Linked DNA regions of Schizosaccharomyces pombe. The protein of the gene in region 1 purifies or fractionates together with the protein of each later gene. This does not show direct contact. Each region holds a gene or a part of one and is shown in the gene's direction. Other genes may lie near its edges. The genes, in order: rgp1 and ric1.

Region 1 (6,593 bases):
GAGGTCAAACGTAGTACGGTCAAGGGGCCGCAGCTTTGGATGAGCACGGTCATTGCAAATACAAATAATTGGTATCATGCTTTTTTTAATAATCATATTCAACTGACCAACGCCTCCACGATCACCCGATGACATGCCATCGATTTCGTCCATAATGAGTACAAGTCGGGACTTTGCCATGTCAACGGGGTTAGCTTTTGTGCCAAAGTAGCCGGCAAGTGATTGACTATCTGTCACACCGAACAGCTGCTCATCTAGCAAGCGCTTGCTTCTAGTGTCACTAGCGTTCAGTTCCAAAACATCGTAACCTTCTAATTTTGCTACCAAATGAGCAGCAGTCGTCTTGCCAATACCTGGAGGACCAGAGAGTAATACGGCTTTGTATAGACCCAGACCATCAGGTCCAGGTTTATTAAAGTTGGACTTCCTGTTTTTGTGGTAATCCTGTAGCCACTTTTGAAGTTTTTGAACGACACCCTTATTACCACAAATATCCTTTAAAGAAGTTGGCGCATATTTTGAAGTCCATATCTGTGAAGGTTGTGATTCCTTTTTATTACTATCGTCCATTCTCGCAACAGTTTCAAGGATTTTCTTTTCTTCTTGTTCCTTTTTCTGTTGAGCAGCCTGAGCCGCAGCACCCGTTCCTCCTGAAGCAGGAAGATGAGTTATAAGATAGAAGAGTCCATCCTCGTTAATAGCAGGAATCTTGTGTTGTTTAATTGTTTCCACTTTTCTTGGACCAGCATTCTCACCTAAGAGAATAAAGTCTGTTCTAACAGAAGGTGCACCTGTCACTTTTCCACCATATTGTTTGATCAGGTCTGTAGCCTCTTGTCTAGTTAAAGTCTCTAGAATTCCTGTAATAACAAAGCTAATTCCCGAGAGACAATCGCTATTGCCTTCAGGGACGGGTTTTGAGCCTGGAGTTTGTGTTGTAGCCGCCCGTTCATAGAAAGTACCTGGAGCCATCACACCCATAGAGTCTACGTCAATTAAAGGAACATTTTTGAGGGCTTGGGAAACTTCGTCTGAGAACCTAGGTAAGCCTTTCGACTTGCTAGAACGACTTGTGTGAGTTGTCGCAGTTGTGGTATGAGATTTTGACTTTGAAGTTGTCGATTTTTCTGCTTTAGGTTGAGCAGGTTTACGTGTAGCTCTAGTTTGATGGACAACTGGCTTACTGTCTGAAGTGGTATCCAAGTCATTGGCAAAATTTTCTGTTTTTACAGGATGTACGACATCTTTGGAAGTAGTAGTTTCTTTATTGGAGATAATCCGCGGTTTAGAACGTGACCGAGTAGACTGTTGTTCAAAGTACTCATCAGGTGTAGTTGAAACTCCATCTGAACCGACACTAAACAAAAATTCAAATTAGCGAACAACGCATAATGAGGTAAAAGTAAAATAAACATACAGTTTATCGTCTTCATGAACAATGGATGGCAAAGAATGGGAAATATCTTCCGACTCATTACTAGTTGGAGGGTTAGAAATATAAACTGATAACCCGAATTAAACGAACCGTTTTTGCACTTTGCTTTTGGATGCAGGAACTTTTGAATTCTCTATTGTACCATCTTCATCATCTGATAAAACGATTCTTTTTTTCTTCAAACTCCTTTTTGGTTTTGGGGAAGTAGGCTAGACAAAGACGTTAGAAAATGAATGACTAGCTTATCAAATTTGACTGATTGAAGAAACAAACATACAGTCGGTGAGACTTTTGGCTTTTTTTGAGCGTTCCCTCCTCCAAAGAAGCTTCGAATGTCAGAATTACTCATTTCCGACGATGAATAACAATTACCCAATTCCTGAGAAGCTACTGTCTAACTTCCAAAAAAGCAGTGTATGTATGTATATTGGGCGACAATAGCAAGGAATGTGACAATTTGCCAAAAGCAGAGAGTTAACAAAGCTTCGTTAAAACATTCGTAAATGAGTAAATTAAGGAATAGTAAGGAGAGTGTAAAAAATTGATTGTGGGCGTTCGTTATTTAATCTCGTAAAATGAGTCGTGGAGGAAGAAAAGTGGGCTCTTTTACAGTACTATTTTGATTGTGCATTTGTTACGAGACTAATAAACGTTCGTCAATACGAATGAAGAAATCCAAGTTGTATGGTTATTATTAAGGTAAAGCTGAAGCCAGCGGCTTGAGAAATTATCGAATATAAGAGTTTAGTGGTGTTCGACAATGACAGAATGTGATGTGCAAATGTACATGCCAGTGAATGTAGTTCAATCCGGAACTGACTTTGAGTGCATTGTAAAATTCACGAATCTAAGGAGTTCAGAAGATGTAAATTTACTTTTGTGCTATGCTTCTATCCATGGTGAAATGTACCTTGACTATGTACTGGTGCGCGTTACAGAATTCGATGAGGTTCAGAGGCAGGGGCTCTTAAACAAAAGGACAATGAGCGGATTAGTACATATTCCCAAGGTATCCAGCAGTTATTCTGTTATTAATACTCTGAACGGGATGATTGGAAATTTATTTGGAGTTAAACAAGCAAGTACATTGACAGAGGCCTCAGGTATGTAATGGTGAAAGGGTGCAAAAGGAAATAAAGACTTGGTAAAAAAAATCTCTCAATTGGCTTACATTTGGAGGGAAGATATAGCTCGGAAGAGTGCTTATACGGTGAGGTGGACATAAAGTCAATTGACGAATTACAGAAAGGTTGTCTGGGAAGAGTTTTGTAATTCATTTGAAACATATTTACTCTTTATTCAATTTTTTTTTTTTTTTTTTTTTTTTTTGGAAGATGGTTACTCTTATTTTTACTGCAACCTACTGCTTAAGCATGAATACTAACCGATAAAGAACAAAAGCAGGAAAATGCCATTCCAGTGCTACTGACTCGTCCAGATATATTAGGAGTCGATATCACGCTTTCTCCTGGAGAGGAAAAATGCTTTCGGTTGAAGCGAAGAATTCCCCTTCGAACAGCACCTACATATAAAGGATTGGCCTTTCGATTTCAACACGCACTGGTCATAGGAGTCCAATCAGCTACCAACAATGCTTGTGTAGAGCATGAATTTGAAATTACTATAGTACCCAACGTTCAACAGCAACCTGAACTGCCACTCGGAAAGAATTCGGGAAACAGACAATCCTCGAAGCTGTTTGCAGATTTATCCAAACCGATTATTGAAACAGATGCGGCAGAAATTGAAGAGGTTTCAGCAGAGAAAGCACGTAGGCAATTCGGTAAAAACGGTATACGACTTTCGCAGGATGCGCAGGAGGAAGAGAAGCAAAAAAAGAAATACGAGCAACACATAAAAAAGCTACTTGATGGAGAGTCTAATGAAGAGGGAGGAGGAGAATTCCAAGATCATGGAATGAGGTCAGAGATCAATGAAGAAGTATTAGAGGAAGAGGATGAAGAAAAAATTGCGTTGTTAAAAAAACTCGAATCCAAGCAACCAATGGCCACGAGGTTTGAGATTACAAGCAAACAAAAAGTGTTATGTCGATTGCTTTTGAGCAAAAGCAGATATCGGACAGGAGAGATGATGATGATTGAGCTAGAAGGACTGGACGCGATGGTTCGACAAGTGCATATGCAACTTGAAAGTGTGGAGCGTATTGTGCCAGACATCCGTATACGCAACAGCGTAGGGACGGAGAGGGCGACGCGAAAAGTGTGGTGTAGAATTACACGGGGAGTGTTTGAGTTGGAAAACATGAGCGCTTCGATGGTTGTGCCGGAGGAATGTCCGGAAACATTTGAAACACAGCAATTTGGAGTGGAACACTTTTTGCGGGTGGAATTGTTAAGGGCGGTGAACAAGAAACGTGAGATGCAGGGACCGGCGCATCCCCGATATAGTGAAGAGGTGCAGAGTCCGAGTCGATCGAGATACAGTGAAGAAGTACAGAGGGTGAGTGAAGGTAGATTGAGCGAAGAGGTAAGCAAGGAGGAAGAGAAGAAAGGAGGGAGGGAGAGCGGTCAGCACAAGCGAATGGCATCGCTAACGAATTCGCGAGAGATGCAAATCCAGCATGCACCGACAACGTTTGCGGCAGAGACGATTCAATGTGTTTTGCCGATTCGAATTGAAAAGCGAGTTGTGTGGATGGAAGATGGAATGGAAGGAGGGATGGAGGGGATGCAACCGGTTTAGCCAAACAATTGAGTAATCCGATCGTTGATCAAATCAAGTCTCAAAAAATTTTAACCAGCTCATACTCCAACCTTGCTAACGTCTGCGAGAATGGATGATTTCGCTTTTGCTTTCCATTTTGAAAATTCAATCCATTACCGCACCGTGCTCTCTCTCGTACTCCCCTCATTGTGCAGTAAAGTGGGAAGCCACGAAAAAAGGATATAACGATTGTTTGTGAGAGAGAAAGAACGAAAGAACGATGGATGATTGAAAGTGTCGCTTAGTTTTAAGATAACGACAATTCCCTTGATTTCGCAATTCTCCTTTTGGGTACTTTAGGCTCCCCTGGCTCCCTAACGATGCTTTCTTGTAGCGCTGGCTCTGGTGCGTGTTTTTTTGCGCTGATGCTTGATATCAATCATGTCATTTCATTCTATGCATTTAGGGGTTCGGACACTGAGTGTCACGAATGCAATCTATCATACAATATCAAATTTCCAATCTCTCGGTAACTTTGTATGCATTATTAGCAGACAAGTGACGTTTTATGCAGTAGTAGCAGTTTTTGCAATGGAAGTAGTAAGCCAGCAAGCAAGGAATGGAAAAGGTATGTTGTATGTGTATCCCCCCTTCCTTGTCTGACCTGACTTGGCCTAACCCTGTCTTAACGCAGCCTTGGCTTTCTTCGTTACACAATGCTATTTCTATTTTAAGTGTGTTATACTGGGTTATGCTATTCTCGAAGCCAATCTTGCCAATGTGAGCAAGTGAGCCAATCTCGGAAAAAACCTCCCCGTTCCTTCCTTTACCGCCGTGCAGTGAGAGGTGACGTGAAATTGAGATCATTGGTGATTGGGAAGATCAGATGGTTTTGGTACGACTTTTCTTAAAATTGCCATTTTGTCCATACCGTCAATGCCAAGGAAATTGACTCGATATCCGTTTCGGAACGCCCTGATACTACGTCATTTTTCAGGGTAGGGGTGAAGTCAGTTTTCTCAAGGGGGCACTGCCCCACATGGGCTCTAATGGACATCGGTGTTTTTTTTTTTCATCTTGCGGCACCAGTCGAGTCAGTTTGACCAAATTGGCCTTGAAAGATGACTGACCTCTTATTTGTCGATGACAGCGGCCCTCATTGACGATGACGACACTTTTTTGGAATGAGTGAATAAGGCGCGATAGTGTTTTCTCCTATTTGGTGATATGGAAACGGTGCGTTTTTCTACGCGCATCTTCCGAAGAGGTAAGGTTTGGCTTTCGAGACCTAAAAGTCATTCTCCTATCAATCGCGTCATGTTAGATTGTTGATGGGCCTTGGGCAGTGGGAGGTTCTTGTAGGGAAAAATAGCACGTTGCAAGAAGGACGAAAGAGCACAAGGAGGAGGATCAGAGAAAGAAAGAAAGAAAGAAGAAAAGAACAAATTCTTGCGCACTTCACTAAATAGATGGTAGCGAAACATATAAAAGAGGCTAGACATAAGAGAAACGCTAGACTTGGGAGAAACGCTGGAGGTAGGAGGAACGCTAGATATGGGAAGAGTTGAGTAGGGAGAGAGAGTAAAGAAAGAATGAAAAGGAAGATTAGAAGAAGAAAGAGGGATAGAATAAAAAGGAAATGGTTTTATTCCTGTTGAATGATTGAAATAGTTGTATGAATAGATGCAAATAACTATCATTAAACATATAAATAGATGCAAATACAAATAATACTAATAATTTAAATAATATTAACAATACAAATAATTTAAATAATACAAATAACTATCATTAAACATCTAAATAACTCGCCAACTAAACATCCAATTCCTATTTATAAACATCGAAACAACATACATCCGTATAAGAATGAATCTTGAGGATCCTTTTCATTATAATAGTATAGTTTAGTAAAGTAAAGTATAGTCTAGTATAGTATAGTATAGTATAGTATTTTCTTTTCTTTTAGATTTCCCCTTGACATTATCGACTCTTTTCTTCGTTTATTAGTAAAGCATGTATGTTACATTAAATCAAATTTCATTCGGTTTTTCTTTTTCCTTTATGTGCAGCGCTCAACAAAGGGACAGGGATGCTATGGACTAAAAATCGTGCTGATGGAAGCGGCAGACATTACAACGTCACCTGCAACGATGCCTTATCATATGTGCGTACGTGTGCAAATCGAGAATGGGATCGACGGACAAAAGAGATGCAATTTTCTTCTCGTCGCAGTAGGAGCGAGCATACAGCGATCGGGTGATACTTGGAGAATCAAGTAGGGACGAATGAAAGTGTGTATGAATTTGGGGAGTAGTAGGAGTAAAATGAAGAGTAAGGGGGACTAGTAAAGAGTCATGGTGGCCGTAAGAAAAGAATCTCGTATAATAAGAAAGTTTTCATATCAATAATATCGATGCATCCAGGTTGTAAGAGGTCGTCATTCAGAAAGGTAAGATATTGTCATGGTCTTGGTCATGCCTGCCCAAATGTT
Region 2 (6,191 bases), on another chromosome or scaffold:
AGATACAGTTGCCGATAGTAAAGAAGAGGAACGAAGAGACATAGCTAATGATGATTTGATTGTTAATGCCAATGCCAAGGAACCAATGCATCATTTTTCTTTCACTGATTTAGATACATTATTGAACTGGCCGAAATATGTGTTTCATCACCATAAAATACACCTAGCAGATACCATTCCTTTGGTTTTTTTGGATTTGAAACCGAAAGAGTATACCGTAGATTTAGAAACGCCAAAGCTTGTTGAAGAACTTACTAAGCAGTTACATGTTGCCGAAAGTACTTTAAAGGAAAACTCGGAAAAATTTAAGCAGAACTCTGAAAGTTTGAAGTCTAGAGTTGATAACTTAAACGATTATATTACAAAGTTGCAAAACGAAATTGACGAATGCAGAAGAAATTTACTGTGGGCAGAATCGTCATGTGAAACAATACGAGAAGAAAATCAAAAGAATATTAAAAAACTGAACGATGCTGAATCACTCAAAAGTAGGTTACTTCAATCCCGAACGCAGATGCAGACAGAACTTGATTCTTACATCACATCTAATAGTCAGCTTAAAGACGAAATTACTTCTTTGAAACAAACAGTCTCCGAGAGTGAAGCAGAACGGAAAAGACTATTCTCCAGTGCACAGGAAAAGCAACTTCAAATGAAAGAGACGGTAAATAAACTTACCTCATTACAAGAACAAAACAATGAGTTCGACCGTCAACTGAAAGAACAGGAGGAAGATTTGCAAAACAAAGAGGAAGAACTGACTGAACTTCGTAAATTACTCCGTGAACAAACGCAGGATAGTCAGAAATTACGTTTATTAGTTGAGCAATTGGAATTGGAACGTCAAGATTTGAAGCAGGCTGGTGAAAACCATTACTCGAACCTATCTTCTGATTACGAAACTCAGATTAAAAGCTTAGAATCCAGTCTGACTAACTCCCAAGCTGAATGCGTTAGTTTCCAGGAGAAAATTAATGAACTAAATTCTCAAATAGATGAACTGAAACTTAAGTTGAATGAAGCTAATAAAAAGTATCAGGAGCTGGCCATTTCTTTTGAAAACTCCAACGTGAAAACTCAATCAGTTGAGCCCGATAACGGTTTATCGTTGGAGGCCCTGAAGAATGAAAATCAAACACTTCTCAAGAATTTGGAAGATTCGACAGCACGATACGAACACCTGCAAAAGTCATTCAAAAATGTGTTCAATCAACTACGTAAGCAACAACCTTCTAACCATGGGAGAAACAGTTCTGTAAGCCGCTCTTCTTCGTCAGTGGAAGTTAATTCTAAGCATCCTGGCTCGGATGACATGCTAATAGATAAGGAATACACACGCAACATTCTTTTCCAATTTCTCGAACAGAGGGATCGTCGGCCTGAAATTGTGAACTTGCTGTCGATTTTGTTAGATTTGTCTGAAGAACAAAAGCAAAAGCTTTTGTCTGTGAAATATTAATGTGGTAAAATTTTCATTCCGTTTTACTGCTTTTTTCTCTTTCTTTGTATTATTCATCATATTGTTAATGTCCATTACGATGTGGAACATTTGTTTGATTTTGTATGCCGCTTTCCATTCTTGGCAGTGATTTCACGCGATAATATCTTTTGGAAGGGTATGCTATTATAATGTTAATAACGGTCTTTTGCATAGAACCCACGAATTCAAATACGTTTTTTTTTTTTGCGAATAATTAATTAAACCAATCAAGTTCTTTGTCTTGTTTTTGAAATCTTGAACCGAGCTTAGGTCTATTCGATTTATAATTAACTTTTTTCAAACCTCTCATTTAGGGAAATGAATAGGAAATCATGTACCAATGAATGAATTGAAGCCTTATTGTAATTTTATAGCTGATGGCTAATCTATTGTACAATTTGACAATACTTTCGTTAACAAAGCAGAGCATAATTTGCCATTCCTAAAGTAAAAATGGACTAGAAGCTTTTTCCTAGATTACTGCATTCGTTTGACATCTAGTAAATAAAATATCAGCTCCATTATACAATAATATAAGTATCCTTCAATTGATATGCAAGTTGCAAATTAACAAATTGCGAAATTATTATTTAACGAATTAAGTTGTTCCTTTTGTTGCACTTTTTAACGAAAATGGTGGTAGAACATCAGCGTCAACTGTTGATCCTTACGTTCTCAAAGGGTTCAGCATCCTTGGAAATGGTTAAACTCCTTGTCGAATAAGGTGAACTATTCATGTACTTCCTTCATGGAACACCTCAGAGAATACAATTGTCCTCCAGAGCAATACAAATATGTCGAATCCCTAAAGTGTCGTTCTTCGTTGTTTTGACTGAAACCGAGATTTTAATATATCAAATTCGACCCTTGACACTCATATCAAAGATAACAAAGTCTCAGAACTTATTTGAACGTCATGGAAAGAACAAAAAAATAGCTGTTAACTCTGAATACGGAATTATAGCGGTTGCAACTGAAAAGAACTATGTAGCTGTCTATCATTTCACTTTAAATGCTTCCAAGCCTGTACTAACGCCAAGTCCTTATTTAACTCGATACGATGATGGACCTGGCGAAATATTTGGGCCTATAAAGTGTGAAATCCAATACAAGCTTGCTATGCGATATGGAGGTGGGCTTAAATGCCTGGAGATTCAAAGGGACTCCATCGTTTATGCTGCAGATTCTGCACCAATTATTCAGGTTTCAACGCTGGAAACAACTGACCCTAATAAGTTGTGGAAAGTGTCAAGTAAACAGTACGATTTACGAGAAGTCACTTGGTTTCTGGATCATTCTTCTCTCATATCTCGACTCTATTTCGATGTTAAAATCGACACTTTCTTTTGGATGTCAACTGATGGAAGAGTTTATGCCAATATCGGTGTTTCTTCCAACACGAATACGAAAAGTCTGTTTGGCCTTTGCGTACATAACCCTGTAGATTTGAATAAGTCAGATAATGACAAGGACATTAATGAGGACCTGGAATCCAAGCTTAGAGAAAAGAAGGCGACTGTTTTATCTACAAATGCCAGATTTTCTCTTTTATATGTTGGTACCGCCGATGGAACTGTGTATGCTTATGAAATACGAGATTTCGGTCGCCAATATGTTCAAACTCATTCTTTTAAATATTCGGCAAGCTCCGGAAAGGTTAATCATATTGCTACGACAGGTGATGGCCATCAAGTTATGGTTGGATACGATGACGGTTGGGCTACACTGTCTCCTTATCTCAACTTGTGTTGTGCTAGTAGTGAAACTGAATATTTTAATTTTGGGTTATCCTGTGGCTTTTGGGATAGAGATAGTTCTTCCTTTTATGGACTAGGATCTAAAAATTTTTCTTCTACAGGTGAAGCTGAGGGAACGGGATTATCTACTCCGATTATCGCCGAATCCTTAAAAGAAAACGACGAGTTTTTTGCTATGGAAAAAGAGAACGTTGATATCCAGTATTTGTCACAAAACGACAATACAAATGATGTCTTATATAGTATTACGGATTCTAAACAATTTATTAGCACTATTTATATTTTACCTTTTTTAAAGAGCACCATAGTTTCAAGTGTACAAAGCACCTTGCAAGTTTGTGGAGCTCAAACTAGCGATCGGTTATATATTTCGAAGTCATATGAATTTTGTTCTAGCGTTAAAAACAATTTTGGCATTGACTTTTGGGATCAAGTTGAGTATCCTCAACCATATGTTGCTTCTGAATGGCCTATTAGATATGTTTCTATCAAAGATGATGGAAGTTTGATAGCAATCGCTGGGCTTCATGGATTAGCTATATATGTTTGCTCAAAAAAGACCTGGTTCTTATATAAAGATGCCAATATGGAACAATTAATCAGTGTTACTTGTCCAATGATTTGGTGCTCACAATTTTTGCTAGCCGGTGTTGTTTGCGAGTCCAACTTTGAGCTACACCTATACAAAGCAAAAGGGCCTTTAGACGATAGAGAAAACTTGGCTAAATTATCGTTTACTTCAACAATTGTGACAATGTCAGTCTGCGACGAATATTCTTTGGTTGTCTATACAGCTGATAATTTCCTCCATCACATCAGATTCGATATAAACGAATTAGGAAGATTAGAACTCGACTATTTAACATCCGTAAATTTTGCTCCAATATTCACTACTCCATCCAGAGTTCGAAGCATAACGTTATTACTACCAAAAGACCTTGCAAATATTCAACCTTCTGATTTACTTTTTTATGCAGTCCTTCTGGTTCTCATTAATGGAAAACTTGTTTTGTTAAGTCTAAAAAAACAACATTCTAAAGAGCTTTTATATCAGTGCAGCATGCTAGCGGGAGACGTTGAGTTTTACTTTATCAATGGAAGTCAAGAAATCCCTTCATTATTTCATTCTATATGGATCATGACGGGAAAGGGACTTAAGCTATGGTTATCTTTTAGCGAGATCCTTTCCTCTGTTTTGATAAATACTAAAAACCTTATAGATGGCCTTCCAAAGTTTCTCAATACATCAAAAAGAGTATCTCTAGAAAATTTTCATCGTTTATCTGTTGAAGACCTCAGATCGCCCAGCTTTGTCTACAAAAATGGGGTTGATTGTAACTTTGATAACACACATCTTGCTAAATTGATTAAAAATGTAAATATTTCTGAAAAGTTTCAAAAGGAATGTATAGATCTGGAATCTCAGGGATGTTTGCTGACTGTATTAAGCAATTATGGACTTCTATTAACTGCTTATACCCAGGGTCATAAAAACTTAGTTAATAAGATGGAATACGCTCATATCCAAATAGGTGTTTATCCATTCCTTCCGGAAATTGTTCGAGCACTATTACTGTTAGATAAACGTGAGCAAGCTATTGACTTAGTCAAGACATATGGGCACTTGCATTATATCAATTTTGTGTTAGAAAAATTACTTTCTTCATCATTATTGACCTACAACTCATCACAGCGAGATAAATTGCTTTATGAAGTATCCTTATTATTTAAAGACTTGCAAGAGTTTACCACTTTTAAAATCGTTCTGGGTTGCCTGCGAAAAACTGAAGCTGAATACTGGCCGATGATATTTAAGTATTTCGGAGAACCAAAAGACTTAATGAAAAAGTGTTTAGAAACAGAAGATGTTAAAAGTGCCGCAGAGTGTTTGATAATATGGCAGATCCATCAGGGTTCAGCCAGTTGTGCTTCTACCTTTCTAAGTATATACGAAATGGCTTTAAAAATAAAAAACTGGGACGTTTGTACGGAGTTATCTAGCTACCTGGTGAGTCTGGATCCCGAAAAACGTTTACTGAAGACAGCGCTGGAACTTCTCGATGAAGGGCCTGATTCCAAGGACATTCGTCTTTACGATCAATTTAACAATTTGATGAAAGAAGTGGATAAATATTAACCACAGTATATGTCATGATCAAAACTAAATTATTAAAGCAATTATCAAAGTAAAAAAAGAGGTTCAAAGCTGAATAAGCATAAAAGGTTTTAGCTTCAATGATGATTAGAAGTTTGAAAATTACGCTCTTAGATAAAAGGAGCTGATGCTTCGGGAAAAATCTAAAAACGTAAAAGTTCATTCTAGTAAAAACTGTCATAGCTATAATGTAAATAAAATTTTTTGCCTTGGTGATTATGGGACTTCGAAGAATCGGGTGAACTTCTATTGTTAATGAAGATTAAGCAAAATGCCTTTAAGTTATTGCCAGTTTATTTTTTGATTCAGCTTCGGCTCCCTGTAAACGCTTTTTTTGCTTTTCTTTGTATACATCTTGTTTTTTAAAGGTAGCAGAATAGCTATGTACTTTGAAACCAAAAATACGTGGAATGTAGCGTTCTTGAGATTTAGGGACCGCAAGTTCAGGGTATACCTGAAAAAGCATGTGAGGGAATGAGGTTCCAAAATATGCACCATCAATGGATGCATGTCTTTGTGATTTTGGTGTGTACACATCCTCACACCGAGGACAGTATAATTTAACGGATTTTGTATGGGCAATATCCGACAAGCCGACGGGCAACATTGGCTGTCCGTTGCATAAAACTCTAGGGCAATGCCCAAAGTCACATTTTTTGTATTTCTCAAGCTAGAAAGGATGTTAGTCAAAATCCAAAGCTAATTAAAACGAAATAGTACGGTATGACATAAATGTAATAAAATTGAAGAATTGAAAGATAAGTCAAGTTACACACTTAGTGTCCATTATACTTGTCTA

Evidence for each region.
Region 2: the proteins of rgp1 (region 1) and ric1 purify together in Schizosaccharomyces pombe (affinity purification with western blotting; one study listed by BioGRID). This does not show direct contact.

Annotation. Positions count from the first base shown.
Region 1 is NC_003423.3:3,854,159-3,860,751, forward strand, and holds rgp1 (protein sat1), read left to right. Parts: upstream 1-2,060; 5' UTR 2,061-2,195; coding exon 2,196-2,538; exon of another isoform or gene 2,539-2,828; coding exon 2,829-4,138; 3' UTR 4,139-5,858; downstream 5,859-6,593. Other genes in the region: DNA replication factor C complex subunit Rfc1, read right to left, coding at 1-1,357, 1,418-1,477, 1,526-1,644, 1,713-1,784.
Region 2 is NC_003424.3:4,502,866-4,509,056, reverse strand, and holds ric1 (Rab-specific(Ryh1/Ypt6) Ric1-Rgp1 guanyl-nucleotide exchange factor subunit Ric1/Sat4), read left to right. Parts: upstream 1-2,175; 5' UTR 2,176-2,215; coding exon 2,216-5,374; 3' UTR 5,375-5,571; downstream 5,572-6,191. Other genes in the region: grp1 (GRIP domain-containing protein), read left to right, coding at 1-1,459; CK2 family regulatory subunit Ckb1, read right to left, coding at 5,670-6,062. UniProt on the Schizosaccharomyces pombe protein: Probable component of a guanine nucleotide exchange factor (GEF) that may be required for efficient fusion of endosome-derived vesicles with the Golgi.